3 linked regions of the Drosophila melanogaster genome follow. The protein of the gene in region 2 interacts with the protein of the main gene of each other region in a biochemical or structural test. Each region holds a gene or a part of one and is shown on either strand. Other genes may lie near its edges. The genes, in order: phyl, ebi and sinah.

The links.
Region 1: the proteins of ebi (region 2) and phyl form a complex in vitro, tested with the Drosophila melanogaster proteins (one study listed by BioGRID).
Region 3: the proteins of ebi (region 2) and sinah form a complex in vitro, tested with the Drosophila melanogaster proteins (one study listed by BioGRID).

What each region holds. Positions count from the first base shown.
Region 1 is NT_033778.4:14,424,113-14,436,021, forward strand, and holds phyl (phyllopod), read right to left. Parts: upstream 8,226-11,909; 5' UTR 7,982-8,225; coding exon 7,796-7,981; intron 4,633-7,795; coding exon 3,616-4,632; 3' UTR 3,224-3,615; downstream 1-3,223. UniProt on the Drosophila melanogaster protein: Essential adapter component of E3 ubiquitin ligase complexes; involved in R7 photoreceptor cell differentiation, embryonic nervous system, external sensory organ development and specification of particular muscles.
Region 2 is NT_033779.5:410,784-421,547, reverse strand, and holds ebi (ebi), read right to left. Parts: upstream 6,482-10,764; 5' UTR 6,160-6,481; coding exon 6,102-6,159; intron 6,037-6,101; coding exon 4,838-6,036; intron 4,760-4,837; coding exon 3,914-4,759; 3' UTR 3,012-3,913; downstream 1-3,011. Other genes in the region: CG11885 (uncharacterized protein), read left to right, coding at 182-607; RpLP1 (ribosomal protein LP1), read right to left, coding at 990-1,256, 1,402-1,473; CG13690 (uncharacterized protein), read left to right, coding at 1,948-2,991; AP-2alpha (adaptor protein complex 2, alpha subunit), read left to right, coding at 8,724-8,823, 8,890-9,101, 9,311-9,766, 9,830-10,419, 10,488-10,764.
Region 3 is NT_037436.4:16,853,485-16,861,812, reverse strand, and holds sinah (sina homologue), read right to left. Parts: upstream 2,734-8,328; 5' UTR 2,556-2,733; coding exon 1,500-2,555; 3' UTR 1,284-1,499; downstream 1-1,283. Other genes in the region: CG13029 (uncharacterized protein), read right to left, coding at 80-503, 562-659, 772-1,116; sina (seven in absentia), read right to left, coding at 4,451-5,395. UniProt on the Drosophila melanogaster protein: E3 ubiquitin-protein ligase that mediates ubiquitination and subsequent proteasomal degradation of target proteins. The adapter phyl is required to direct the degradation of the two isoforms of the transcriptional repressor Tramtrack (Ttk).

The sequences.
Region 1 (11,909 bases), on a different chromosome or scaffold from region 2:
AATAGAATACGGGCCCAACTATTATCACAAAGTCTCACATGACTTCGATATATATTTATATATATATATGCCTAGATATATTCCCATGAGTTCACAAATTATTCCTGGCGACTTTTATGCAGTTTTAGTATTCTTTTATTGCCTATAAACATTTTTATTTAGCTTGCAATTAGGTTAGATATAGGATAGTCACACCCATAACTCAGACGGCTGCCATAAAAATCAGTTATAGAATTGCGGCCATACGAAACCAGATGTGAGTAATACGAATATAATTCGGATTGTAATCAAGGAAAATTGAATTAGATTCTCAGGTCATTAGGTTTAACATTCGAGGGGCAGGCAAAAGGTGATTTTCACATTTTCCACCCAATTCACTCGCAATTTTCGCACGTTTTTCTTTTATTTGTTTTTTATTTTCCACACTTTTATTAGCCTAATATTTACATATTTAGATGTAGGAAACTTGGTTGTCCTCCCGCAAAAAAAAAAGAAATCAAAAACGGAGGAAACAGCAAAACGGATTATTACAGGAGAGAATAAAAATATTTTTCATTTTTAGCTTTTAATTTCGATTTCTTACAGACGCATTAGTCTGTAGATGCAATAAATTATATTATGCGTGTTAACCATAAATAAACTTATTACAAACAAATAAACAAAAAATCGGGGTTGCAATTGGTCTAGGGTATTATTATAATTACACCACAATGGTGAACTTGAAATGGAGCTCAGCTAGCAAATTCGCTAGCTTTTTTTTGCCAAATCATTTAACGAATCTTGCGCAATTTGGCTACCCGAAATTGAAAGCGAAATTCGCGCCACTCGAGAACCGAAGGTAACTAGGCCACCAAAATAGTCGACAAAAAATCGGCAAAATATTGGTAAGTATATATAGATATAGTAACAGTAACAACAGCAAACCCCAACCAGTCTGCCTTGCCTGTGAAAGCAACAATTTGAATTTTATTGAATAATATTCGTAATTTCTGTCTTCGCAAAGTGACATGAACGTGACGCATGCGCCCCCAACTCGAGTTTTGAATTTGGATACTGTTTTTGGCACTTTTTGCTTTTGTATTTTGTTGTATTTTATTTTTTTTTTTTTTTGATTTTGGGGCGAACTCGCCCGCGGTTCATAATTGTTCATAAAGCGGCCGTTAGCATTGTTATTGCCTTGTCTCCAGCCTCTGGGGCTGAATTTCGAGTACTCATGCCTTAATCGTTGCCGTGCGTGCGATTTTTTTGCGGTCCCAAGGTATTTGTTGTTCACTTTTCAGCCGAGTTCGTTTTTTCTCGATTTCGGTTTCTTTCGGCTTCGATTTATTAAACAATTTCAATGGGCATACTGGCTTGTACACAAGTGAATGATTTTTCGCACACACGCATCCCGTCGCGCCGCCCACAGCAGCCTGACTTTTATACTTTAATACTTTGTTTTTTTTTTTTGTGTTTTTCGAAAACCAGTTTTTTTGGGGCGCTTGGCCAGCGCACTGAACTAATTGTCGCACAATTTTTCACCGCGTGGGCAAAATTCAAAAGTGCAGCAAAATATACGATCTAGCCAACGGGAAGCATTTTGTGCGTACATTGCATAATATTTTCGTGGGAGGGGGGGGGAGGGATATATGTGGGGTTTGTGCATGCCCCACAGGCTCTTATTGTAATCACATATGTAGCAGGGGTTCAAACGATCGCTTGATTCAGCTTCCTGCCGCTGGGGCTTTATTGCCGAATTCACTTTTAAATTTATGCTAATTAAACGTGCTCAAACAGGAACCGAACGAAAACCAGTCGAACATCTCGTGTTTTCCAGAACAACTTGCACTCATTAAGCGAGAGTTCATCTCAAGCAAATGGATATAAATATAAACCATGTGAATTATCGCAGTTGAATTAGGCATTAATTCCTTGGCAGTGGATATAATTTAAATATTTTTACATACATCTTATGAGTATGAAACGTGTTTCACAGATCGGTTATATCGATATTTAGAATAATATTTATTTTAAATAAACGATTTCCTTAAGTACGTTTCTCACGGTGCATCACTAACCTTAGACAAGTCTACACTTTTTTGGCAAGACCGCACATCCTTGGACGGGCTAAAAATGTCGCACAGCACTCAATGATTTAATCTCTGACTGACAGAACGTAGAACGTGCCGTGTGGCAAGCCGCTCGAAGCTGCCTCAACCTTGACCGTCATTCGTAGGCGGCAGAGTGGCGAGAATCGCGAGGCGTAAGCTCTTCGCACGGCCATCGGGCGTATACGCGATTTCCGGAAACTGCACGCTCTCTCCGTCTCCTTCGACGTGGCGGCAAGTCATCTTCAAGTTCAGAAGGCACGATGAATTTTATTTATAAATAAAAGTAACCTTAGTCGCCGTCTCAATAAGGCGTACTTGAAGTGCGCGTAGAAATTTCCGCACCACATTATTAACGTTGCCAGTCATGTCGGCGAAACCACAATTGCCAGCCAGCCAGCCAGCCAGCCAGCCAGCCACTCAGTCATCAGTTCGTGTATTGATGAAATGCCATATTGTAAGCCAAAATAAGTATACGCACCGCTGTCTCAGTTGCATAAACAACAACAACAACGACGATGCTGACCTCCACACGTTCGTTCTCACTACGCAATTGCCTAAATCAAATAAATACGCTAGAGCATCAGAAATCAACAATTACACATCGGACTTTCGCACGCAAGGCGAAAACTAATGATATATGTATGTATTTAAGAGCATGTCGTTCGTTGGTTCTGGAATATCTTAAAATGGATTTCTAATGTGATGAATTTTCTTAGCTTTTCTATTAGTTAACTTATTAGCAAATATATTGCAGAAAATTTTTAAGTAAAACATAGTAATTTTAGTTAATTTAACAATTAACAATTTAATTTCTCGTACTTCATATTTTATGTTAAATATTGAAGAGAAATATTTTCTGTAGGAAAATTTTCTGCAGTTCTACATTTTGATTTTGGCGCCACAAGACAGAAAAATTAGAGCATACTTTTTGGCGCCGTGAAGAAAACAAGTTGGCAGCCCCAATTTAGTAACGAGAAAAAGTGCATACTTTTCAACGTAAAAATTTAATTGGATGAGTAACATTTGGCGGGAAATGTAAAATTAATTTGGTTTTCATAAAGATCACTCCTTATTCCTCGGAATAAATAGAAAATTCATACCACCCGTACATTTAAATATAAAAACATTCATTTATATACTGATTGCTTTTGTGCTATTTTTATTTCGCATGTTATTTTGAAATACTTTTGTCTTTTGGAGCAAACAAACAAATTCAACTACATTGGCTCGAGGGGATTCTCTTTTTTGTTTTTTTTTTTGGGTAAGTCAGGGATTTGCCTACGACTAATATGTATATTTTAAATATAGCTTTCCACATCCGTTAACTTAACATTCTTAGGTCTTTTGTTGTTTGTTTTGTGTGTGTGTGTTTTTTTTTGTCCGCTAATTAATTAAGGTATTTGACTAACAATTAAAATGTAATCGAGGTACTATTAACTTAGACATTTGCTAATGCTCATAATTTGCGTATTGTGCATGCAATTTGACTATTTTGTGTGCGGGGCATCAATTGGACCCATCGTTTTTAGACGAGGCTAATGCTAAGGCCCATTGGTAATCGCAGGCCAGCGAGTTGGATTGAAGCTTGGTGGGAATTTTGGTGGCTGTTTCCTTGTTTGTGGTGGCTCTGCGGTTCCAGTGGCGCTTCCGCCTCCTGCACCACTTCCAGTTCCGCTCGGCCATCCACTTCTTCCTCCTCCTCCAGCTCCAGCTCCATTTCTTGTGCCTGCTGGTTTTCCTTGTTCTCCTCGTGGGTAACCTGATAGCGGGCAGTTGGCAGGACTTCGGATATGGCGGTATCGAATTCCAGCAGTATCTCATCATCATCGAGGTCCCGCGTCCAGCGCGGCGCCTCTTTGAGCGGACTCATGATCTGCGGGAGTTTCGAGCAGGCGGGGTTTGATTCTGCTGAATATGCGGCGGGTTCTTCCCGACTGAGTGTGGTTCCCAGTCGACGGAACATGGCCACTACTTTGCCATCCACACTGGGCTGCGGGAATCTTTGGTAAGTGGGCGTGGATTGTGTATTGAGCACTGGTGTGGGTGTAGCTGTAGCTGCCACATCCTTAACCAGTCGCTCCACTGGTTTCCGGCGCGGCGCCACACACTCCACCTTGCAGATCGCATTGCTCCTCTTCTGGCCCTGCGGCCTAAGACAGACGAACACCGACTGCTGATTGCGCTTCTTGGGACTCCGCCGCAGACTCTCCACACAACACTGGCGCAGCACTCGGCTCATCCGGCTGACGGAGGCACTGCGTCTGCTGGCTCTTCGCTTCGAATAGACTATGGGTGCGGGTGTGGGATTAATTGGAACTTGGGGCTGCAGTTGGGGCTGCGATTGGGGCTGCACTCGCACCGTGGGTCGAACCATCGCCACCGGACGGAGCTTCGTCCTTTCCTGCTGCAGCACACTGTTGCCCATGTGCGAGGGACTTTGGCTCTGGCTTTCGGCCTCATTGCTGTTGACCGCCTGCAGGGAGTGCCAGTTGATCAGCCAGTTGTTGCAGCTAAAGCAGAGGAATTTGTCCTCGTTCAGGGGCTGAAAGTAGAGATATATAGGGAATAGATGAGTACGGGTAGTAGAAGTAGTTTTATCTAGACTATAAAGTTATTGCTAATCATAATATACTAATCATAACTATTCAAACTCATTTGGTCCTTCAATTAATTTAATGGCTGAGTAATAACCCATTTTATAAATTGCTTACTGCCTTAGACTGATATGTAGCATTCCAAGTAAAGGATAAAAAGCCATTAGAAAGAACCGAAGGCGGTTACATTGTAACTTGCAGAGCCACGAAGGCCAATCATTTATTGATTATAGCCATGAAACCGTTAAGGTCATCAGGAACCAACCTTAGAATGAAAATTGACCCAAATCCGATTGCGTGACTCGCAATCTGAAGCCAGGCATAACCCACAGAATAAACCTCTAGAAAATTACGATACGCCTATGCACTTAGTGATCGCTCGCGACACCCGACCACTACCACCACCACTACCACTAATGAGCATCCAGCCAGAGGTGCAAAAAAAAAAAAAAGACCATAACAATTCCGAAAAACAACTGCCAGACGACCCGGGCATATTAATTACCCAGCCAGACCTCAGCATTCCTCGGGTATCAATAATTTCGTGCACCTGCCAGCAAAAACTAAGCGCCCAGCGGTAGCAGCTGGCCCAAAAGGTACGGAAAACCAGTAACCAGTAACAAGCCAAAGGGACATTCGCTACTTAGTTCGAGCCTCGAAGGAAACTCGTTTTCGGCCAAGAGCCACGCGCCCTATCCATATATATAAAAAAAAAAAACACATAATGCCGAAGTGGAACCGAAGCGGGAACTGGGTTAAAACCCCAACTATGACGACCATTAGGCACGCGCATGCGCGACAGCTGCGCCGAGAAATTAGATAAAGGTGATCGGTACGAGGGTCGGGGAACCGAAAGGATCGACCAGGATGGCGATAGAGGAGGAGGAGGTGTGCAGGGTAGAAAGGATCAGGAGCGATTGTGGCTGGCTGTTTACCTTTGGGTTCGGCGCTGAAAAGGTGTGCTCCAAGGGCCATGTGTAAACGGTATAATAATGCAAATTGCAGGCCAGGTGCAAAGCAGACAGAAAGCCACACAAACACACACACACACACGCACACGCACGCACGCCGATCGCAGATGCACTGCGAGAAAAAGGTGTGCACTCCTAAGATCAGTTAAATATGGGCACATGAAAAATATGTTTAAAAGTACTTCTATTAGTTTGAAAACAACTCTTCGTGCTTCTGTTAATATAGCTGCATATTTACTCAATTTGTAATGTTCCTTTTTTCTAAGTGCATAAGAGTGGGAGGTGGGGGGGCGCAGTCTGATAAGGTAATTGCAACTGGACTTTATGGCACTGTCATTCAGAACTCGAGCTTATAGAGAACCCGGCGAGGGTGTTGTTCCTGTGGGGGAGATCGGTTGCCAGGCTACGATCACGGCAGGTGGTGTATGCCCACCGTATAGGGTTTCGCAAAAACGGTTCAAACGAAATTCTAACGACGTCCGGAGGGGGTGAATATATATATATTCTATGTGCATAGAGGGTGAGCTTCTAGTGTCTGATATTGCGGGGTTAGCTGAGGGTTTTTGTTATTATGAAATCGCATTGCGTGCGTCTCGAGCATTTCGTAATTAAATTGATTGCTATACACACAATACTAGTTAAGCACAATGCTTCAATTAATCTAAGACCGAAACATATATTCCGAAAATATGTGGAAATACAATCTACCAATATCTACCCAATATTTTAACAACCTATGTTAGCAACCACTTAATATTGTTTATGTTTTTATAGGACTTCGTTTTAAGAACTCTCATTCTGACTTTGTAATCCAATTGAACGGAAACCTTAGTAAAAACTATTTCCCAAAAATACCAAACTAAACGAAGACCTCTAAATGGAAATCTTGTCTAGCTTGGCACTTCTGGGACTTCGGCTGAAAATTCGGGCATTTGAAATCACCTTTGTAAACGCTATTCCAAGGGTAGATCCTTTGTTTGGATTTGCGCAGCTTAAGAAACCGGAATTTCTATCCAAAGATATTTGGCATTCTCCAAGGGTTCAACCACCAATGCTGCTGGGGAAAATCCCTTCGTCTCACAAACAATAAACTGTGAACTCGCATCCAGGTATCCGAGTTCAATAGTTGATATGCGAAAAAACTCACTCGAGACCATGAAGAGCTGATAAAGAAGCAGCAGCAGCAGCAGCAGAGGATCCAGAAACCCCGATGGGTTGGATTTTGAGTGCCGACCGGCAAATACAGCTGTCGTTTTGGGATATGGAAACGAAGAGAACGAACACACCGGGTTCGTTCACTGCCCGCAGAAATTGGAGCAATCTCGGCAAATCCACAGCACATCTGCCCTTTCGAGCAGGTTTATGTGTGCGCCGCCGGTACAGGTAGTCATGGGTAGTCATTTGAGTGAGGAGGAGTGCCTGTAATCCGAGACCCGAAACTCACTTCCACAGAAAAACAAGCCCAGGATCTTCAGCCAGGATCGATTTCCCTGGCCATCTTCCGCTGTCGCATTTCCCACACACACACACACCGCACTGCTCGCATATTAGAACAAGCTGTTAAAAATTATGGGAAAGGAATCGAACTAAGTGGCGGCTCTGTGGCACTGGCACATATGCAAAGTGTCCAATTACCAAAGGTTGTCGGGGAAATGCATCATCTGCTCGGCGACAGGATATGCAGTTTAAAGGGCACAGGAAAAGGTGGGCATACCACAAAACTAATAGGGATAAAGGATTTTGAAATTTTCATTAAGAAAGTAGTTTGTGATAGAACTACTAATTCCGAGACCTTAGTTCTTTGCAAATAATCACTTAAAAATATTAGAAAACTGCGCTCGAAATCAATCATCAAATAGCTTGCCACTCTTTTTTTCCCAGTGGGCTGCTGTGAGGGAGTTACCTGTACCTGCCTATAGAAGTGCCACCCATTTTCCCATTTTCCGCCCAGCGAAGTTCATCCCCTTTTAACCCAAAAAAAAAAACACACACGGATACACGCGCAGAGGGAAAACTTTGTCCGAAGGACGTTCCTTCGTTGCATGACTCATCCGCCGAGTTGCCCCAATATCGATTTTTATACGTTCCCCGCCTAACTGAGTTTTTATTTTTTTTGCTCTAAGTTGGGAAAAATCCATACCTGAAACTTGAATTTCGCCTGGATTAGCTGAACGATATTGGGTCCGGAGCGGGGCTCGTAGATATTGATCGTCTGGTTGGTGTGGCAGCCGCAGATGAGGCAGGTGCGTTTCAGGTATTCCGAGGAGGCGGCGGGTGCGGCAACGGCCGCCGAAGGATTCGCCTGCTGCTGCTGATTGGTAGACATCCTGGCGATTTTTCCCAGCCTCTGACGTCACCAAAGGTCGCACTAACTTCTGCCGATATTCGACTTTCGCACTCGTATTGTATTTGTATTTTCACGATTTTTTGGGGTGCCGCGAAAATGTGGCAAACAACAAATGCCAAGCGGCGAACGCGTGCGACAGAGCGAGAGAGCGGGGAGAGCGAGAGCGGGACAGCGAGCTACGGAGCGGCACGTCCTTCGCGTTGCACGCACAAATTTCGAATGAGCCTTGCTTGTCCTCATCGCATTCTGGGCACCACTTTCAAAATTTGTGCCTGCGGGCTGCCACATCTGGCAAATGACATGCGAGAGTGGCGAGCGTTGTCGGATCGATGGGAAAAATAAGAGATAAAGGATAAGCTAGACACTAATGAAATAAAAGTCATGCAAAATATATCATATTTTCAAATCATATATATATTTTCAAATATAAAACAAAATTTAAAAATATTTATTTATTTTTGTATAATTTTTATACTCAAATGCAATTTTTTGGGCTCAGATTAAGCCTGGTGTTTTTGAAAAATGAAAACATGTACCATATAACCCAATATTGCAGTGAGAGAAAAAGCAACCATAAGGGTGACATAGCCGAAACAAAACAAACAGGCGGCATATGTTCACATTTAAGGGCGCCAAAAGGGATGTTGACTGCTAGGATGACTAGTGCGAATTCTGAAACAGGAAACGGATAACAAAAGGCAGTGCCAGTGGAAATATGCAGCAGAAGTTTGACAATTTAACCACGAATAAAATTCTGATGACTGATATACTTTTATGCCAAATAAATATTTATAAAAAATAAGGAATAACAATGTTAATGATTCTTAACCTGCTGATAAACCTTATTTTATAATTTTATTGCCTTGCAAGGCGAATTGCCAAATTCATTCAGCGATCAGAGCCTCGCAAATTTTATGAATGAATCGAAAAGCACCGACAACTGTCTCCGAATATTTTGACAACTTGACCTATCTGAACTTTCGACACTCAAGCTCGTCCCTCGCGTCCAGTCCTTTGGATTTGCTTAAGCCGCCGAAGGAATCGGTGGCAGCTGCCATTGAGCGACAAACGCCGAATTTAATGTGGACGGCCTCCTCGACGGGCACTTATCATTATGGAGGACCCGCCGGCTCAACACAGAGCCCATATCATCCGCGGCACGAATAGCTTGCAGCATGTGCGCATTGTGGGCTCATCAACAGGCTGCCGAGTGCAGAGTCTGGTGCTCCCCCCAAACCCGTCGATCCTCCGCAACGGCGACGAAGCACCGACAGCAACGGCAGCTGCTCCAAAAACAAAAAAAAAAAAAACAAAAACACAAAAGGTGCGTTTCGATTTTTCGTTTTTTACCCATTTTTATGCGGCATTCGGGCAGTTCAATCATATGTTCTCTGTGTTGTTGCTCATTTTGAGCCGGTGGTGTTGCAGCTTGCAACCGGATTTCTTCGTGGCGACAGATGTTTCTTCTCCTTTTTTCTTTCGTCCGAACCTTCTTCGTCCGCTCCTCCGATTTGCGACGATCTTCTCAGATCGCAGACACTGGGTTAACTGGCGCTGCTCGCCGCTACTTTTACTACGCATCTTCGACGATAGTAAACAATGGAGTAAGGAGCAGGGAGTAAGGAGTAGGCAGTAGGGAGTAAGGAGTAAGTATGGGGCACGGAGGTTCCAAGCGCAATCGAGGCCTCTGATGAATGAATACATGAATGGAATCAGGCGAGGGAGTTGCGTGGCGAACGAATAATGTATCCGGAACTGGACCCTCGATCGATCGATTTCCGCGACATATGCGTATCAAATTTTCATGTAGATCTCTGGGATCCCAAGAGAGGAAGTGCCCAAGGTGCCAGGATGAGATATCGAGGATAAGAATGGGATAACGAAGTTTTTTTTGGAGATTTATGGTTAAGCATTTAAATATTTATTATCAAGATCTCTATTGTGATCCTATCAATATGTTTAAACAAATGGTTTTGGTGCATTTGAAAAAATTCGGTTTTTTGTATTCCCATTTTTAAATCACTGCTCTTATTTATTTTACTTCGACTTTGACTACGCAATTAAACACTATTAAAGCTAAACTACACTACGCAAAACTAAAGGGTACCGTCTAAAAACAATTATTACGCCATTGTTTGTTTATTAATTGTACATCAAATTTTTTTAATCTCTTATGCAATTTGACTTTAAGAGGAAATATATTTATTTTAAACATACCGTTGCCTTTAAGTGTCACACCAGCGACATCTATGGAGTCACAGCGCCAGTCGCTACCAAACAGTTTTCAAGAAATTACTGTAGGTGGCGCCTAACATTCAAAGCAAGGCGAATTGCGGCGGCGAAAAATGAATTCAATCGGTCTAGCATAATTTTGGTCAGTAATTGAATTTCTTTTGTTCGCATTCAGCGAAAACCATCCACAAGATCTATTATTTAGAATCCTGAATATCCAATAAATATTGAAATATGTAAAAGATATATCGTTGTAAGCGATTAAATATATTTTAATGTTATATCCAATACAATAGTATTACTAATTCATCTTCATCAAAATATATAATTCGTTCAGCTGTCTTACTATTTCTGTACTATGTGCAATAATATACCTTTATATGCTTCCAAGTTCTTAAAATGTAATGTAAAAAAAAAATGAAAAAAATATGTAAAAACACCACTCCAGTGGTGAGTGCACTCACAATTTGCCAACAAATAATCCGCTTGGGAAAATAAGTTTTATTTTCCAATTTTGAGGTTTAATGTATACCACTAATTTCCAAGAATTTTTCTAAACAATTTAGTAATATGTGCAACGTTAAGTCCCCATATGAAAACGTATACTTTAAACAACAAACGGCGAAGTAACAAAAGATATATAAATATATAACATAAGAACATAAGAACGATTTCAAGGTCACAGTTTGATCTCTAACTAAAACAGAATTTAAATTCATTCTCTAACACATTCTGGATTCACAGTTGGTTTATCTTACTTTGTCTTTAGCACAACTTTAAATCATTCCTTAATTCATTCCATACCAATCTTTGCCTTTAATGAGTCTCACCACATCACCTTTCGTATCCCAAGCGTGTGGTACTCCTGAAATATGGATGAGTGGATGGCACAACAAAGGATCCATTGCCCATGTCGTCGTCACCCGCTGCCAAAGCACTAGAATTTCTGCTTCTGGACACGTTTCTCACGGTGCACCAAGGAGCTGAGCGGTGTGCGTTGGTTATCCCGCTGCTGAGAAACCAAGTGGAAACTGCAATTCGCAGGGCACCTTGGGAGAATCGAAATCGCCTCGAGATCGCGCCCCTTTTGATGGACCCCCCATACGCACGTGCGAAAGTCGGCTATAAAATAATTGACTTGACTTTATAATTGCAACAGGCGAGCGGGGAGGGCAACAAAATAGAAGAATCTATCACACTGTGAGCAGTCGGCATGGGTTCCCGGGCTGCTGGGCTACCGGGCTACCGGGTTCCCTGGCTCTTCAAAAGGCACCCAGAAACGCTCGTGATTGGTGCCGCGCCGGTATTCTCTAGGGGATGGAAGCGAAGCAACCCCCAGGGGAATAAGTTCAGCACTGATAGATGGTTCACTGCTTGGATGTCTGGGAGTTCTTGGGTGGCTCTGTTCTACCACCTCATCCTGCTCTCTCCGCATCTGATTGCTCTCTCTGCCAATCTCTGTCGCTCTTTTATTGTTCGCGACTGCGCTGTGGACATACCATTTTGTTTTAAGAGCTTCTGTTTTGATGCCACCTTTTTTGGGCCAGCATTCAGTCAGTTGCCGACGCTCAAGGCACAAGGATATTCGCTGCGTTTGCCAGGACTCGCTGGCTGTGACACAAAAAACCAAAACAAATCGCTTTGGCGCGAAACGGAAGCCGCACGGCGAGCTAGG
Region 2 (10,764 bases):
AACGTTTGAACTGCGTGCTTCGGGAGTCACGAAACTCGGAACCATTCGGCCACACTTCATATTAGCACATCAATGCATAATGACTATCGATAAAACATCGATGTATTTTTCATCGTTTTTTCATGCTGTCTCATCGTAAACAATATCAACATTGTTAAACGCTTTTAAATTCTCTCAAAAAATGAACCACACAGCAAACAAACCTCGACAAATCGGATTCGACAGGCAGTTCTCAGCGGACGTGAACGGCGTTCCCACGGAGATAGTGTTCCACTGCTTTGCCAAGAAGTGGTTCTTAGTCATAACGCAGCTCGGCAAGATTCCCGGCATCTACAACGTGCACTTCGATGTCAAAAAGGACGAAAGAGTGGTTCCCTATTTGCACGGACCCGTGGACAATCCGGAGTTCCACGTATCGGTGCCAATCACGATGAACTGCTGCTTGGGCTTGGACACCGACGAGACTCGCAGCGCCATACAGTTTCTGGTCAACAGAACCGGACTCCACAAGTGCCCGACGGAGTTCGTGGTGGGCTTGGGTCTCAAGAAAATCGACGGACCCAATCTTCGTGCCCTAGCTAAGGTCCTCGAGGAGACGTTATTCTAGTCTGCGTTCGTTATATCCAATAAATATTAGCTGTGACAGTTTTTGTAAAAAAAACCTTGAACATTTTAATCGTAGCCTTCAACCCGGCTGACCAAATTATTGGCCATTCTACTGCAACCTCTTTCATGTGCTTAAAAACCCAAAATAGAATCTACTCACAAAAAGGCAGTGGAATGACCAATAACATAGTAAACCATAATAATTCTGCACCGTTGTGAAAGGAATGAGTCTCGATAATTTTTTAGCAAACGTCTTCTATATTTCCTCACATTTGTACATTAAAAACGTGTACGCAGGTCGGGAAACGGGTACACGTCCACCTCTCGAGGATTACAGCACAAACACAACGGATGTCCGGTTGTCGAGAAGTTCTCTAGAGGATTTAGTCGAACAGACCGAAGCCCATGTCGTCGTCAGACTGGTCGGACTCCTCCTCCTTCTTCTTCTCCTCCTTCTTGGACTCGGCGGCTGGAGCAGCGGCGGCGGCAGCAGGGGCAGCACCACCGGCGGGAGCGGCACCAACTCCGGATCCGATGTTGGTGATCAGGTCCTTGACGTTGATGCCCTCCAGGGCCTTGGCGAAGAGACCGGGCCAGTAGGGCTCCACCTCGACGTTGGCGGCCTTCAGGATGGTGTTGATCTTCTCACCCTGGTGAATCCAAAAAATAAGATCAGCACAAGTTGCAGCAGTGCGAAAGAAACCATAGGACCCGCAAATTGTCCAATACTTCCGGCCGATGGCCGCGGCTTTGGAGGATTTGCTTCGTCCCCGATTGCAATATCGAAAAACTTACGGTGACGGCGACATCGTCATCGACGAGGATGAGGGAGGCGTAGACGCAGGCGAGCTCGGCTTTGGTGGACATGTCGAAGTGCTGTGGCTAATCACTGATTGTGCAAGTTGCCAAAAATTAATTGTTTATAACAAATGGCCTTAGCTCGGGACGAGAACAAGCACGCTGGTCAAAATCCTAAACCGGAAAGAGCAGTTGATATGCAGTGTGACCGCGCCGATGACGAAGAAAAATACCAACCGTCTATGAAAATTTGCATATTATTGTCAGGAAATACTAGGTAGAGGAAAACTCGTTCAAACTGCCGAGATTATCTCTTATTTAAACTAGTTTATTTTTAAGCATCTTGGACAGAAGCCTTAGCATAATTCTCTGGTTATATGTTTATCTCTCTATTTTAATAAAAGACCTTTCCGTACGGTTATTGAGAATATTAAAAAAAAGATATTTTGGTATAATGACGAATGAGTCACACTGCAACTTTATGTATACAATTAGTGTGCCCATAGCGTCGTTTAAACGTAAACAAAAAAAAAGCGCGCGAAAATGTCGGACCAAGAAGACGTAGTTGTAAAAAAAGAAAAAAAATGTATAGAAAATATTGATGAGAACGACGAAGAGCCCGATGATGTAGATTTTAAGGACAGCGGAAAAATAAGCTCCTTGAAGGCCCTGGGTCCATTTATAGCCGGCAAGGAGAATAGCCGCAACACGGTTTACCTCAGCGATGTTCCGGATATTTGCAAGGATAAGCCGTGCATGCTGGGCGTGGACGAAGCAGGGCGTGGTCCCGTCCTGGGACCTATGGTATATGGGATCTCCTACTGTCCACTGGAAAGTAACAAGGCTTTAGAGGACCTGGGATGCGCCGATTCCAAACAACTAACCGAGGGGAAACGTGATATCATATTTAACGATATCAACACCAAGGAATATGCGACCAGTTGCGTTGGCTGGGCCGTGGAGATCATATCGCCGAACACGATCAGCACCAGCATGTACCGGCGGTCGAAGTGCTCCCTGAACGAAGTTTCCATGGACTCGGCCATGGGCCTTATCCAACAGGCGATCGATGCGGGCGTCAATATAGCCGAGGTTTATGTGGATACGGTGGGTCCGCCGGAGAAGTACCAGGAGAAGTTGCTCAAACGTTTCCCCAGCTTTAAAATCACCGTGGCGAAAAAAGCTGACTCCACCTATCCAATAGTCTCTGCTGCTAGTATATGCGCCAAAGTTACCCGTGATCATGCCCTCAAGGTGTGGAGCTTCCCCGAGGGCTTGGTCATTAAGGACAACGAGTTCGGCAGTGGATATCCGGGAGATCCGGTCACAAGAAGATTTCTGACCGAGTACATCGATCTAGTGTTTGGATTTCCACGACTTGTGCGCTTCAGTTGGTCCACCGCGGAAAACGCACTGGCGGACAAGGCCTATGACATGGAGTTCGACGAGCCGGATTCCGAGAAGCCCAAGTACGCCGGCACCAAGCTCACAAAGTTCTTTAAGGGCACAACAAAATCCGGCGAAATAATTCGCGAGGAGTGCCGCTTCTTTAAGCAACGCCATCTGGAAAGTGTCATGGAGTTTTAGCAACAAATGAAAATAAAATTAAGTTCAGGAGTATCTATATTTACAAAGAATAAAGTTTAATTTAAGTACTTTAGTATTAAATTTTAAAATGCTAAAATACAAAAAACACCCAGGCCCAAAACGAAAACAGATTAATTTTTATCTTTAATGTATTTTTGCTGATGTTCTTGTGTTTCCGCCAATCTCGTGTTCTTAATAATTACGTTCGATTACTGACTACGTGGGACTGCAGTTACACTGTTCTGAATGTATGCGTGAATCGGTCTGATCTGATCTCTTGGCATCCCTTTTTTGGAGGACAACTGTGGAATTGGGTAAAGGACTTTTGGTGGGGAGGGCGGGGAGTTGGCTGGCATCTTTGATCGATACAATAACAAAATGCAAAGTTATACTAAACGATTTTCGTATAAAAAGGGACGACCTTAGAAACATGGAGCTTATGATTAAGATTAAAATGAGGCGAGTCGCATCCCGCTGATCTGAAGAGAACAACAACCATGTTGAAGCCCCCAAAAATCCCAGGTGCATATCGATATTTTGTGACTCGAAACTAAGCGTACGAAATAGACGTGGACAAAAGCGGGAGGATCTCATCTCAAGAGGTATACCTTAAAGAACTAATTAGAATTTAAAGCAATTACAAATACGATTGCAGGGCGGGATAGCTAAGAAAGGAGTTACCTAAGGTCCGGACTCCAGATCCAAATCGACTTATGTTGGTAGAATTGTAACTGATCATATTTCACTTCTTTAAAAAATATAGTTAAATGCAATTTTTGAATCAAAAGTAAAAACTTCTCGTTCCGTAAGAAAGTGAAAAACTACCGATTTCATTTTTACCAAATAATGAGCTGGAAAAGGAATCTTGACTATTTTAAGCGTTGGCTCAATACACGAAATCCAGTTGTGGCTGCTCCGGCAATCAGAACTTTCGCAGGTCCAACACGAAAACGCTACCGTCGGAGGCACTGGCACCCACCTTAGTGCCCTTGGAGTTCCAGCACACCTCAAAGATTCCGCCCGTGCCCTTGTAACTGTGCACTAGCTGTCCCGTTTGCGTGCTCCAAATGTGTACGCACTTGTCGAAGCTGCCGGAGGCCAAATGCTTTCCATCCGGACTGAAGGCCACCGAATAGACTGGCTCTGTGTGCTTGGTGAGCGTGTGGATACAGCTGCCCCTCTCCACGTCCCACAGTCTTACCGTGGAATCGAACGAAGCGGATGCGAGGATCAGGTTTGTGTTTGGATTATTGGTTCCCGGCCCCGTGGGCGACCATTTTATCGTATAGATCTCCTTTGAGTGAGCCTGCAGATCGTGGCAGCAACGATCTCGGTTCATGCTCCAGATCTTGAGGGTCATGTCATCAGAGCAGGACGCCAGCAGTTGGCCCTGCGGACACCACTTGATTGCATTCACCTCGTTTGTGTGTCCTTTAAAGGTCTTGATGGGTTCATTTACACCCAACCGGCACACATGTATCCGCTGATCCGTACTGCAAGAGGCAAAGGCCTGGTTTGTCTGCCAGTCCACATCCAAGGCTGGAGCACTGTGAAAGGCAAATTGCTGGGTGCATTGGCCCGTGGATGCGTCCCAGATGATCGTCGTCTTGTCCACGCCAGCCGAGAGGATGTAGTTGCCGCACTTGTTCCACTTCAGAGCAAAGATCGGACCCTTGTGTTGTCCCAAAGTAGAAGCAAGTCGACCGTCGGTTTTCCAAATTCGGGCGTAACCATCGTAGCTGCCGGTGGCGAGCAAGGAACCATCGCACTGCAAAAACGAGAATAGATTAAGTAAGGATCAGAAATCAAACTTTGCAAGGCTTAAGTGCCAAGATCTTCGACTTACATTCCAGTCCAGAGAGGTGACGTCCTTGTTGCTAGGCACCTCAGCGCCGCCTTTCTGGATGCAGTGGCGCAGCACCAACTGGTTGGAGTTAGTGTTTGCATCGGACATGTCCCATATCCTAGCAGTGCTGTCTCCCGAACCGCTTGCCAGTAAATCCCGGCTAGGATTCCATGCGCAGATAAACACCTCGCTTTCGTGGCCGCGTAATACACGAGCCTTGGATTCGGGTATTTCGATGTTCTCGTCAATGTCCATGGGAACAAGAGCTGCGGGAGTCCCAGCACCTCCGCTGGTAGACGAGGAGATGGTTCCACTGGGAGCAGAGCTTTGAGCATTGGACGAACCAGACTGCACGTTGTTTCCTTGGGCTCCTACGCGAATCGTAACCGCTCCACTTGGCGCCTTTGATCCTGTTGCAGTCGAAGCTCCGCCCGATGCTGCTGCGTCCGGATTGGAGGTTGATACAGTTCCACCAGCGGGCGTCAGCCCGCTTGTAGGTTGTTCTACGCTGCTGGAAGTGCTGCTATTGCCATTTGTGGATGTTGAGGAGGCTGCATCATCGGTACTGGTAGCATTTGCATTGCCTGCATTGCCACTAGATGAGCTTCCCGCTTCATTCGAGTTCTGGGATTTCTTTTGACTTGCCCCAGGTGCTGCCAAATCTCCACCAGCTGGTGTGCTTGTGCTATTAGATCCTCCAGTACTGGCCTGGTTCCCTCCAGCTCCATTGTTTCCGGCGTATGTGCCGCCAGCATTATTTGCCGCATTTCCACTGGAGTCTACCTCGCTTGCCGACTGATCGGTTGGTGTGCTTGTGCCCGTGGTGCTGCCAGCAATTTTGTTTCCACCTGCTGAGCCCGCCACTCCGGTACCCGGTTCTATTTTTATCTCAGGCTTGGCATTGTTGTTCTGGTTGCCACCGGCAGGGGCAGAAGAGTCGACTGCCCCGGGTTTTCCCGGCTCTGTTTTCACAATGGGCTTGAGTGGCTTCACCTCCGGCATGACAGCGTCTATTAGAGAGAGTCCTTCAATGGGTCGCGCCACCTCGCCGTCTTCGCCTACGCTCCACTCCACTTCAGTGTACAGAAGACCCTTCTGCAGGATGGTGAGCAAAGCGGCAGGTGGAACCAATGCGCCATTGATATTACTTTGCGAGATGTGTGACTCAATGCCAAACACGTAGGCCGAGTGCAGAAAGCCTAGAAAACGGGATTGCATGAGATTAGGGCGGGCTGTTATCTTGCGATTGGAGGGTTTTACTCACCCGACTCCTGCAGGTATCGGTAAACCAGAAAGTTCACCTCGTCGCTGGAAAAACTCATGACGGAACGCGGTTGGCTCCTTCTCCTACTACTAGCGCACTCCAAAATCCACTCCTATCTCCAATGCCAATTATGTTTTTACGGTGCGAAAATCGGAACTGTGCTGCGTAACACATGCGTCTGCATTCGGCACGCTTATCACTTCGGCGCAAGCCACGGTATCCGGTGCTACTCCTGGTACTTGGATCGATCTGGTCGGTCCTGTGTTTTCAATTCTGCCAGTTTGCTGCTTGCCGCAAGAGCACTTCACATATTTTTTCCACAAATAAAACCGAGGGATCGAAAACGCGTTTCTGAAACGCGCAAAAAAATGGCGGAGTAATCTCAAGGTGTGCGCTGCGAGAGGTTGCGCAGCCTTGTGTTTTGTGACGTCACAAGTTTTGACAACAACTTAATCAAATTTGAGTCATATTTTTGTATTGCACCAAGCGTTACCTTAAAGGATAGAACGGAAATTTATTAGCCATAAAAACAATTAAGAAGATATTTTTGGATTTCTGCTTGGAGCAAAAGGTAAAAAATTCTTAAAGCGAATTGTCGTCTCTCTTCGTCCATCCCTGTGTACCCATCCCTCGAAGTAATCATTGTATTTCAACCCAACGCTCTACTGGTCACACCAATCGTTCCACCCGCGCCCGCTAGATGGCTCCACTCTTAGGCAGCGAGAGCGAAGAAAAATCAATAGAAATTTTCATTTTAGTGAATTGCCCTGCACTTGGTAATAGTTAACAAACAAATTAGCGGCAAATCAGCGAGGCGAAGCTCCAGCGAGTTGGAGTTCCATAAAGTGCAACACGCAGGGTCAAACATTCCGCAGCCAACACCCCGGATTCCGATTCCAAGCGAAGCCAACTTCAGAAGTCAGAGATTACTCTCTCTGCTCCGCCACAGAAATTCCGCAACGCTAACCGATTTTGTCCGCTGGCGAGTAAAAAAAATCGGAAAAGTAAGCTCAAAAAAAAAGAACAGCTAACATACGCCCATTAATGTTTTTGGAGGCTTCTTCGGTGCTTTTTTTTTTGGGCAAAACGCCCTCGTCATCCAGCGGTGAAAAAAGTGACGTGACATGAAAGCAAAGAAAGAAGAGAACCGAAGAGCGCAGTGAAAAACAGAAAATAAAACGAAACGGAAAGCAAAGTAAAAAGTATACTACAGAAACAAAAGCCGGTGGTCGCGCAAATCCAAATAATAATGCCCAAGTGCACATCGACTTCGCCAGGCGATAAAAAGTGGGCGAGCGAGGTCACAGAATCTTTATCAACGGGCAAAACGCTGCCAAGTTGAAAATAAATCGGTTGCCAAAAATGCGGGGGTACACTCTACTTCCACCAGAAAATGTCAAAGTTCGCCAGCCATTGGGTGCACTGGCCGGAAAATCAATCACGTAGTCCACTATTTACCGTTTAAAAGTTCTGAGTTTATTAAACATTGGATTTTTTATACATATAAATCGTTATCAGCGCTTGATGCTCAGTGAAATGTGTGGTGCATACATATTTTGTGGCGTTTTCGTTATCAAAAGTAAAACTGCAATACGGACTTTCAAAATAGAAGCTGTATCAATGTGTTGGCATGCACAATAAGCTACTCCCTGGCTAAATACAAATTGTTATCCAAAATACCTTTTGTTTGAATAATATACGTTTGTTAACACAAATACTAAAACGTAATCATAATACTAAGTTTTCCCATTCCCACAACCCACAATAAATAGAGTATCGTTTCCCCTTTCAGGTCCCAAGGAACGGCCGAGATCCAATCGAAGTAAAAAGAGCTTTGCAGAACCAGAGCGGAGAGCAACTATATATCTTAGGGTCCGACGTCGAGTTCGAGCGATAAGAACGCCTCGAGACTCGGCCGCCATCCATTGACGATTTTCTTGCGCCCCCAGTTTGCATAAAACCAGCGAAAATTAACAAGCTAACTACCATGGCGCCGGTGCGGGGGGATGGCATGAGAGGCCTGGCCGTCTTTATATCGGATATAAGGAACTGTAAGTGCAGATCTCTTGGGTAACCAGCATTAAATCCAATTGAGCGGGTCGCAACAAGAGATTTTCCATAGGGGCGGAATCAGCGCCATTACTTGATCAATTACCAGGAGCAGCGCACTGACAAAAACGTGGGGCGGTACAAAAACGCAGGAACAGTAAGCTCTCTGCCAGATGAATTACAAAATATTGGCTACTTTTCTTCTCCATTCCTATGTAAATGTTTTCGTAGTCGTTACATTAGAAAGATATGAGAAAGTTATATATATAGTTATATATATGGGTACAACACAGCAAATAGTTATATCAATGTGAATCGGTTGCCTCTCAGTATTAATAAATACTTACAATTTTGATAGTTTGATGACTTACTGTAGTACTTCGAAGCGTGCATATGTGTGTGCGCAAGAGTCCGACGCTTCACTGTATGGTATTATTATCACAGCTCGTTGTTTGCTGTATGCTCGGTTACTAGTTTCTGGTTTGTGGACAACATATAGGAGAGCAGAGGTTCCGCTGCGGATCGGTGACTGGTACTAATTGACGCCTATGTGAATCGGAGAAAATCCGCGACATGGAGAGAGCTGAAGGGTGTGAAGTCGTCTCTCCGATCGATCAATCGCGGGGTGGAAAGGAAAGCGAAGCTTCCGCAGACGAATCACTGTTGTTTTACTGTGAATCTCCCTTATACCCGCATAAGACACAAATTTCTATACTAATATTCACCCATTTGCCCACAGGCAAAAGCAAAGAGGCCGAAGTCAAACGCATAAACAAGGAGTTGGCCAATATACGAAGCAAATTTAAAGGAGACAAAACCCTCGACGGCTATCAGAAAAAGAAATATGTCTGTAAGCTGTTATTCATATTTCTCCTCGGCCATGACATCGACTTCGGGCACATGGAGGCGGTCAATTTGCTGTCCTCCAACAAATACTCAGAAAAGCAGATTGTGAGTACCCCAAAAAATTGCTTCAATAATCATTTGTTTATTTAGCGAGTCGAAATAATTGAACTGAAAGCAGACGACTCTGCTTGTGGGAAAAGGGAATTTCATTCAATTAAATTTAACTTGTCGTTGTTTGAAGTTTGATAAAAATAATTAAAAAATTGGTTTTTTAAATTTAATGTTACTGATAAAATCTGTTTTTTGAACTTTAGGGTTACCTTTTCATCTCAGTGTTGGTGAACACCAACAGCGACCTTATTCGGCTGATCATCCAATCTATAAAGAATGATTTGCAGTCGCGTAATCCTGTGCACGTTAATCTGGCACTACAATGCATTGCCAACATTGGAAGTCGGGATATGGCCGAGTCCTTTTCCAACGAAATACCCAAGCTACTCGTCTCGGGCGACACCATGGACGTGGTGAAGCAGTCGGCGGCGCTATGCCTGCTCCGCCTGTTCCGCTCCTCGCCGGACATCATTCCCGGTGGTGAGTGGACTTCGCGCATTATCCATTTGCTCAATGATCAGCACATGGGAGTGGTCACAGCGGCCACCTCGCTGATCGACGCCTTGGTGAAGCGCAATCCGGACGAGTACAAGGGTTGTGTTAATTTGGCTGTTTCACGCTTATCCCGGATCGTAACAGCCAGCTACACGGATCTTCAGGTACGATTTAATGCATTTTTTAAGGTAAGAAACTTCTAATTACTAACTAAATTCGCATTGCAGGATTACACATATTACTTTGTGCCGGCTCCATGGCTATCGGTGAAACTTCTGCGATTGCTGCAAAACTACAATCCAGTGACCGAAGAGGCCGGTGTGCGGGCCCGCTTGAATGAAACTTTGGAGACGATTTTGAACAAGGCGCAAGAGCCGCCAAAGAGTAAGAAGGTGCAGCACTCTAACGCAAAGAACGCCGTGCTCTTCGAGGCCATCAACCTGATCATTCACAGCGACAGCGAGCCGAACCTTCTTGTCCGCGCTTGCAACCAGTTGGGACAGTTCCTTAGCAATCGGGAGACCAACTTGCGCTATCTGGCTCTGGAGTCCATGTGCCACCTGGCCACATCGGAGTTCTCGCACGAGGAGGTGAAGAAGCACCAGGAGGTGGTCATTTTGTCAATGAAAATGGAGAAGGACGTGTCCGTGCGCCAAATGGCGGTGGATCTTTTGTATGCCATGTGTGATCGTGGTAATGCCGAGGAAATTGTTCAGGAGATGCTCAACTATCTGGAGACGGCCGACTACTCTATTCGTGAGGAAATGGTGCTCAAGGTGGCCATTCTTGCCGAGAAGTACGCCACGGATTATACCTGGTAGGTGTTCTCTTTTTTAGCTTGTGCTTAAAAGTCTATGTGCTTTATGACAACCGCTATATTACCAGGTATGTGGACGTTATCCTCAATCTAATTCGCATTGCTGGCGACTACGTGTCTGAGGAAGTATGGTACCGCGTCATTCAGATCGTGATCAATCGCGAGGAGGTTCAAGGCTATGCCGCAAAGACTGTTTTTGAGGCGCTACAGGCCCCTGCCTGCCACGAAAACATGGTTAAAGTGGGCGGCTACATCTTGGGCGAGTTTGGCAACTTAATCGCCGGAGATTCCCGCTCAGCACCACTGGTACAATTCAAGCTACTGCACTCCAAGTACCACTTGTGC
Region 3 (8,328 bases), on a different chromosome or scaffold from region 2:
ATATTCTTTTTTTTTACTGGTAATCATTTCGGAAAGTTCCTAAATACACAGTACATTTTTTGGATAATGGTTGGTGCTATCAAAAAGTAGTGGGTGCCTGTTTGGTTTGCCACTTAGTTCCATCGTGGGGCAGAGGACTCCTAATGCTGGGCGAAATAAATGTCCAGAGGCCTCGTTTTCCCATGAAGGCCATGAAGTTGCCCAGTAGCCCTTGATTGTATCTATAATCCTTTGGCGTATAGAATGTGGTATTCAGATACAATGCTGGTATCTGATATCCCAACATTATGAGTGATAGAATGCAGGCATAGATGTTGATGATGAAACTTATGTTCAGTGCTATTAACTCGCAGCTCATTGGTTTGAGAAATAGGAAAAAGCGTGAAAAGTGTAATACAACATATTGCCTCCGAATTTGTTCATCAATTATAAGCAGATTTACATGCGTTGCCAATGACAAAAGTGATCCAATATGCATGTAAACTGTGAACCAGAAAAAGTACCTTTGGAAAGGAATGGTGGTAAAGTTACAATAATATCGCTGTCACCAGTAACTATTACCTGTAATTAGTGTGGCCAACGCAAGTCGCAGTGAAGATGCAGTGATGATCCCGCCTCAGAATGCAGCATTCACACACTTTGCAGTGCCAGGATCTGGGCTGTATTAAGTGTCACATACATATTTTGTAATAATGTTTAGTATCCGCACATCCACTTTTTACAAATGCTTTTTCGTGGATATACAGAAATATTCTATGGCAAATACTTTACCGGCACTAACATCTGGCAGTGGTCACAGAAGTGCCACAGGTGCTTCTCCTCTGGGCACGGAATCTGGCGATCCTTGGGCAAGGAAGTCACCGCCGAGGAGTTGCGATGGCAGGCTAGCATATTTCCTAGCAGATTGTAGACAATAAATAGTGCCATAAGCCAGGCGATCTTGAAGAACAGTCCATCGGTGTCGTATATCCTGGGCAACATATAGAACATTTCCACCGAAAAAAATAATACCGTTCCCACTAGAACGAATCCCACTGCGCTGGGATGTACGATCTTTGCGAACCGCTTCGGATTGGCGTTGGCAATGTACTTGCATCCTATCATCATGAAGCACATGGTTATATAAAAGATACAAGCTGTAGTAAGAATTATGAGTTTTATGTGTAATTCCAAGGCTTCTTTCGAAATTAGCACATGACAAGTATCTGAGTGAAATAGGGATTGTAAATAAAATTCACCGGATATGAAACCCTATCCAAATTATATATGAAACTCTAAATGATACGTTTCAATCCTTTATTCTTTTCCTAATGTAAATCCTTAAAACATCAACACCATTCTTTTGAATCATAGTGATTTTGAGTAGTTCATTGGAATTCATAGGACTAGCTTAGCACATGTATTAATTTAATATGCACTTATCTAACACGCTAACAGCTACCAATCAGCGACGAAAGTCCAATTTATAGGGGGGGGCAGAGATACGGATACGCTAGGGGTTAGTTGGTACGCTCCTCCACCTTCCTAATGACCACGTTCAGGGCAAGATTACCGTCCTCAGAGAACAGTTCGACGGTGTGCTTATTGAGCACCAGGAAGTCGGCGTTGGTGAACGAGGAGAAGTTCTCACGGATTGATCTTGGCTTGGATTGCCAGCGGAGAGTGCGATTATAGGCCTCCAAGGAGATGTTATACACGAACTCGGCGGCATCCTTCATGGAGCCGATCATCCGACAGGCGGTGAAGTACTGCTGACAGTCCTCTCCCAAATTGATCTTCTCCAGCGAGAGGAGGAAGTGCCGCCCATGGCAGGACTGCACCATTGTCCAGTCGAGGGCACCCTCCAGATTCACATTGGTGGCCAAAAAGATGATGTCGTTGCCCTCCATGGTGATCACGTTCTCGTGGGAGCTCATCAGGTGCTGGTATACGTCCCTCAACGGTCCCTGCCAGGAGCACTTGTCATCCGGATACGGGCAGAAGTACGGACGGCATTCGCAATCCTCCTCGTGCTTGGTCTTCTCTGCGTAAGAGAGCCGCGCTCTGCAGCCGAAATGCGAATGCTTGCAGGGAAAGATCAGCTTGGAGGCCACCTTCTCCATTGCCAGGCTGCGGATGTTGGTCATGAACACCCGGCAGACGGGGCAAATGGTCAACTTTGAGCGGCAGGTGGAGCAGATGAGGTGGCCACGCGGGCACTGCATAATTGGCGGCATTATGTAGCCAAAGCACACCGGGCACTCGAGCAAAGCCATTAGAAAATCGTCTCTTGCACCACTGCGTGTTGTGTCCAATGGCCCAGTGGCCACAATTCCCGACTGCACAGCCACCGAGTCCTTCCGCCTAGACGGCACCAGTTCTCCGGCAGCGGCTGCGTCCGGGGATTGCCGCTTGACCACCACAACGTGCGTGGTCTCCTCCGGCGGCACGACCAACGCTGGTGCCGATTGACGACGAGTCAACATTTCTCCGGATGCCGTTGGAGTGTCAATAGTCCTTTGCGGACTTACCCGCTCCGGCCACGATAACTGGGGGCGTGAGTTGCGAACAGACATCTGTGCTTCAGCCAACAATCAATGCGCAAGCTATTAATCCTAAGACCTAACAACCAAACGATTCTGAAGAATGAGAGTGCCGATGGTTTTACTTTTTTTTTACTTTTTCTGAACACTGAAATTTTGCTTAAAAGAATTCGAAAATACAATCTGTACCACAATACAACGAAGCTAAAAGTATAATGAGCTACTTTTACTTCGGAGCCTACTTGCTTTAAATCATTTTAAAATCAGCTTAAAAATTTATTTTTGAAATTGGCCTAAGTATCCTAGTAAGATACCAATCCAGCTAAATCTTTAAGATGCTTCGGCGGTGCACCACTAAAAACTTGTGCCATCTATTATTGCAACGTTTTAAAACGCATTAGAAGTAACCCAAGTATCTCAAAGATAATCCAAATTAAACAGATAACTGATTTAAATCGACAAGTTTATAAAGTGGCGTAGCTCTTCTTTGTAATTCAGCTTCCCCCAGATTAATTTCAATAATTAACGAGCATTGTTTACTTTTACTAATCATGTTTATTTCAGTTTTGTAGTTTTGTGTCTGTGTGAGTGATCTCATATGGTAGTGGCGCGGTAAATCGGCGCATTAAAAGCTAATTACGGTGCAGATGCTTAAAATCATTAATTTTTCTTCCGTTTTCGATTGGGAAACGTTGGCCGAATGGAAATCAAAACCAAAACATGAGCCAAACCGGGGAGATCGTCTTAACTAGATAGAAATTTAAACATTAACATTGCTTTATATGTTTGGGGGGACTTGGGGGGAAATGGGAAGGGGCAACTGTCTTTTTAGCATTGCGAAAAAAAATGTTTTCTTTTTTTTTTAGTGTGTTTTTGTTATTTTGTGATGGTTTGGCATGAACAAAATTGCGGGTCGCAGTTTCGTTTAGGCTGCAACTTTCAAACAACTCTCGAGTTATTACAGATTATCGCTATCAAATATTACTTTTCTTTGTGGGTTATTAGGTTTGTTAATTTCGTTAAACTGTTCGTTTTACTTATTACCATTTACAAGTATTGTATAAAATAATTTACATTAACTAAACTAGACTTTGCAGTACATGTTCGAGTGGATGAGTGACCTCCTCGCCTTTCTTGCTGTTCTCCTCGTTTTGGTGAGTGGGTCTGTGTGTTCCTAGCGTTCACTGTAGTAGGTGGTGGGCACGTGGGCACGCGCAGGCAGCTCTGCTCCAGGTGTGTGGACCTTACGAACTAAATTAAACTAAAGCAGAACCCCATGAACTAACAAAACGGGTAACACTGAAACTTTGAAATATATAGTATTGTGTGTGCGGTAACTGAAAAATCATGTCCTAGAACTAGAGTACCAATCGAACCGATTAAACATACAAACATACAGGTCAGCCACGATTTTCGCATTCGACAGGAAAGTGTGTTATACAAATCTGCGAAATCTCACCAAAAATATTTGGCATTTTTCTGCAAACGAGTGAGATTTACACACAGTCATGTGCAAACTAAAAATGAAAATACGAATTTTAAACGCGGTTTTACAGGTTTAACGAACGTGTGCAATAAACACTGAACATCACTTAGCAATTGCTTTAATACGCTTTCCATTTCGCTTTGGAAAATTGTGAGTGTCTTAGCTTAAAAATCAAAGAAAACTGCGATATCGTGCCGAATGTGATAATCGAAGCAGCCTGATATTTCCATAGATATATATACATATGCATGTAAGTGGCTCTTAGAATAGAGAATCATTTTTATAAAACAACTCTGCAAAACTCTTTCTTCTTAATCTCCAGACTCACAATCTGTCCACGAGTTAGACGCCTGATGCGAACAGAGGGCTATAAACTATATATGTATTTGTATCGGAATAGTAAACACAAGAAATGAAAGAACCCGACGAATTGACAGTGCGTTTAGACCAGAGATATGGTCACGTTAATGCCCAGGTTGCCATTGTCGGCGAACAATTGCGCAATCGACGTGTCGAACACCAGGCAGTCCGAGTTGTGAATTGCGGAAGCGACGCCCTCGTGGATCGAACGCGGCATTGCCTCCCAGGTGAGCCGGCGTCGGTTTCCGTTCAACTCCAGGCGATAGACAAAGTTCTCCGCTTCCTTGCGCGACCCGATCAGCTGAACGATGGCAAAGAACTGCTGGTGTCCGTCGTACTTCTCCTGCTTCTCCAGCACGAGCATAAAATGGTGGCCGAAGCAGGACTGCATCATTACCCAATCGACGGCGCCGGGCAGGTTGATGTCGGTGGCCAGGAACACGATGTCCTCGCCCTGCAGCGTTGTGATGCTCTTGTGCGACATCATCAGATGCTGCATGACTAGGTCAAGCGGGCCCTGCCACTTACAGCTGGCGCCCGGGCACGGACACAGGTAGGGCCGGCACTCGCACGTCTCCTCGTGTTCTGTCTTTTCCGTGTAAACCAGCGAGGCGGTGCATCCGTAGCCGGAGTGCTTGCACGGGAACTTGACGTTCGAGGCAACCTTCTCCATCGCCAGGTTGCGGATATTCGCCAGCGGACCGCGGCAGGTGGGGCAGCAGGTGAGCTTGGAGCGACAGGACACGCACACCAGGTGCCCGCTGGAGCACTGCAGGATCGGCGGTAGCACATAGTCAAAGCACACGGGGCATTCAAACAGCGAGGTCAAGTCGGCGGACATGCCCGCATCACCGCCACCGGCGGACGACAGCGAGGAGCTGGACGACGAGGATGTGTTGGCCGAGGACGTGTTGCCGGCACTGGAGGATCCGGTCGAGGTGCTCGTGTTGGTGGCCACTCCCGTGGCACCGGCTCCTGCTGCTGCTGCTGTCGGTTCGCGGCGCTTCGGGTTGATTTTATTGGACATTGGAAGGGTTCTCGCAACGGCACGAATGTGTCTACAATTCTTCTGGGTCCCTGCAATTCTCGCCAGGTTCAGGTTCTTCGCCCTCCCGGTGGCTTCGGCAATGGCTTTCTTGTGCTTCTGTCTAAAATGAGATACAATCACAGGTCAGTGAGTAATGCGGTCAATTTAGTCATAGCATATGTATAATTTTTTTTTCTTTTTTTTGTAATTTTGTTCGTTCAGTGATAAGAAACTCCAAAAAACAATAACCTACAAAACCATACAGATATCTTAACAAAAATAGTTTGTTTCGATTAGGCTTAGTTAATCCAAAAATAACATATATCAACCAACAAAAAAAATCACAGTATAACACACTGCATAAATGCTGGTTTAAATTTGAACATATGTTATGAGCTTTCTATCGATTTTGCGGCTTAAGTTCGGAGCATACTATTGATTTGAATGTTCATTCCAAACTATTGTGCCCACTGGGACATGAGTAATAGGCAAAAATATTTTTCCATGAAGTAATAGAAATGAAATGAATGCAAACTGTGTAAGCAAAATCTACTCGATTGCTATAAAAAATGTTGCCCAGCAAAACTACTATCCATTTGTAATAATTTAATTTGAGCCTTATTAATTTAAAACTTATTTCGCGTAATCACTACTACTAGGTAGTTCGTTTTTCGTGCCGCCCAATAGAAAAGCCAAAGCGATTTATCATTCCTGGCCTTAACCTTGCCGTGGATTCCCAATTGTTGTAATTACCGAAAAAAGAAAACACACGCATTTGCGTGTATGGGAATTGCATTTAAGCAATTACTTAAAGCGGAACGTATCGAACCGGAGTTGGTCTGCGAAAAGCAAAGACACAGCCCGAGGTCGCCGTCACGTCTCCGATCGAAATGAAGGCCCGATTCCGATTCCAACTCCGAGCCCAAGCCCAAAAGCCTCTTGGCGGCACGTGTGGAACGGCGCAAATATGTTGGCTCTTATCAGGCGGAGCTGACGGAGCCGACGCTGATGGACGGCCATTAGGGACGTCGACCCATGGCGGGATTGTGCGATGGTGGGTGTCGTGCTGGTTGTAATGGGTGTGGTTCGGTTTCACGGGTTTGTCCACTTTGGACAGAATGGGCACACATTAGTGTGAACAATATGCTGTGGGTGCTTTGGTGCGTTTATAAGATAAATATCAATATAATAATATAAAGTTTTCGTAATTGTTTAGCTTTGATGTACAAACAAAACTTGTTCTCTTTCCTAACGGGAATATATTTGCTATATGATTGCTATCAAAATTTTGTGTGAAAGGAGTTCAGTAATATTGTTTATATTCGAAAACAAACTCAAACCTAAAAAATAAATAATATGTTTCCTTATTAACCCAAAACAAAAACACATGAAACGCATGAACATACAAATGTTTAATACTTTACCCTATATATTGGAAAAATTATTTGAACATTTGCCATTATGAAATTCGTACCATCGCCCGCATAAACGTAATATCGTAATGAAGAGTGCGTAACGTAACAAATGCAACGAGGATGTGTAGGGGGTGGGTGGCGGTAGGGGATGGCAGCCGCGGGGAGGGAAACTCACACACTTACAACACAGACACAGATCGCACACACATAATTAACAGTTCGTTTACGTTGCGTACCGTTGGAAACGTTCATACGGGGTAAAAATGGTAATTGCCACAAAAGTCATAGCCATGAATATAATTAACTTAGCTTCTGCTTTCATGAGTTGCAAAATGGTAAAATAGAAAACGTAAGTTGCGGAGCAAAGCGAAATGCGACTATCTTTCTTTAATTTATGCCGCCATTAAGTGCGACTAGGCTGCTGTTTAAACAGCAACAACAACTGCGAAATACATAATCGTTGATATGTAAACTTACATGGCAGGCTGCCTCCAAGAAATTGTGCCGAGGTATTGGTGCCCCGCTGCGTTGGTGTGTGTGTGTATGTGTATATTTTATTTTCTTGTTATTTTTTTGTTTCCTTTTTTATCAGTCAGTCAGCCTTTACGGCCATGCACACACACACACGCATACAGCCAGCATGTGTGTGTATATATCCTAGGTGCAAGTTCCGTTTTTTACGTTGCAATTTGTTATTTTTTTAACCGCATATATATATATAACCAATGCAGGTGGTTTTGCTACTGCACACGCACACTGGGAAAATGGAAAAACTGTTTTGATTGCTTTTCGCCTTTTCGTTCACCTTGCACCGAACCGAAACTCGAAATTCAGGCGTGAGCTAATTTCATTTGGCTTTTTATCTAATTTTCTTTAACGCGACCCGCACACATACACATTTATTCATATTTAGCTTTACTAGTTATTTTCGCCTTTTCTGCCTCTGTGTTGCTGCTGCTGCTGATGTTGTGTTGTTGTTGTTGCTGCACAAAAATAAACCATTTGCATTTACACACAGGCAGCGAAATGGGTTTTTTTCGTGTGTCTCACTTTTTCTATATTGCGTTCTTTGATCGTCGCAGTCGGCGTTTATTGCACTTGCCCTTGCGCGGTGTGGAATTCAGTCTTTTTCGGCATTCTCCATGTACTTTGGGCGTGATGTCTGCCTTTAGCTGGTTAATTAATTAATTTACTTTACTATACTGAGTTTCTTCTAATGTCCGCGTCGGTTGCAGAGATGGAACCCCAATTGTCGTCTATTCGATTCCAGATAGTCGATTACACGCAATCGGCAACATCGCAGTGCCTCCTGGTAGCTATCAATTGCTGTCATCGATTACTTAACAGCCTTGCCACGTTTGTCAAATTAATTTAATAACAGGAAAACATCAGTTTTGAAATAATACAAATCGAATCAGGCGCATAATTTTTAAAGGATCAAAGTTAATAATGTAGTCTGTTACTCTTATTGACAACTAAAGCCTAATTTTTAAAATAATTCATTAATAAATACTTTTT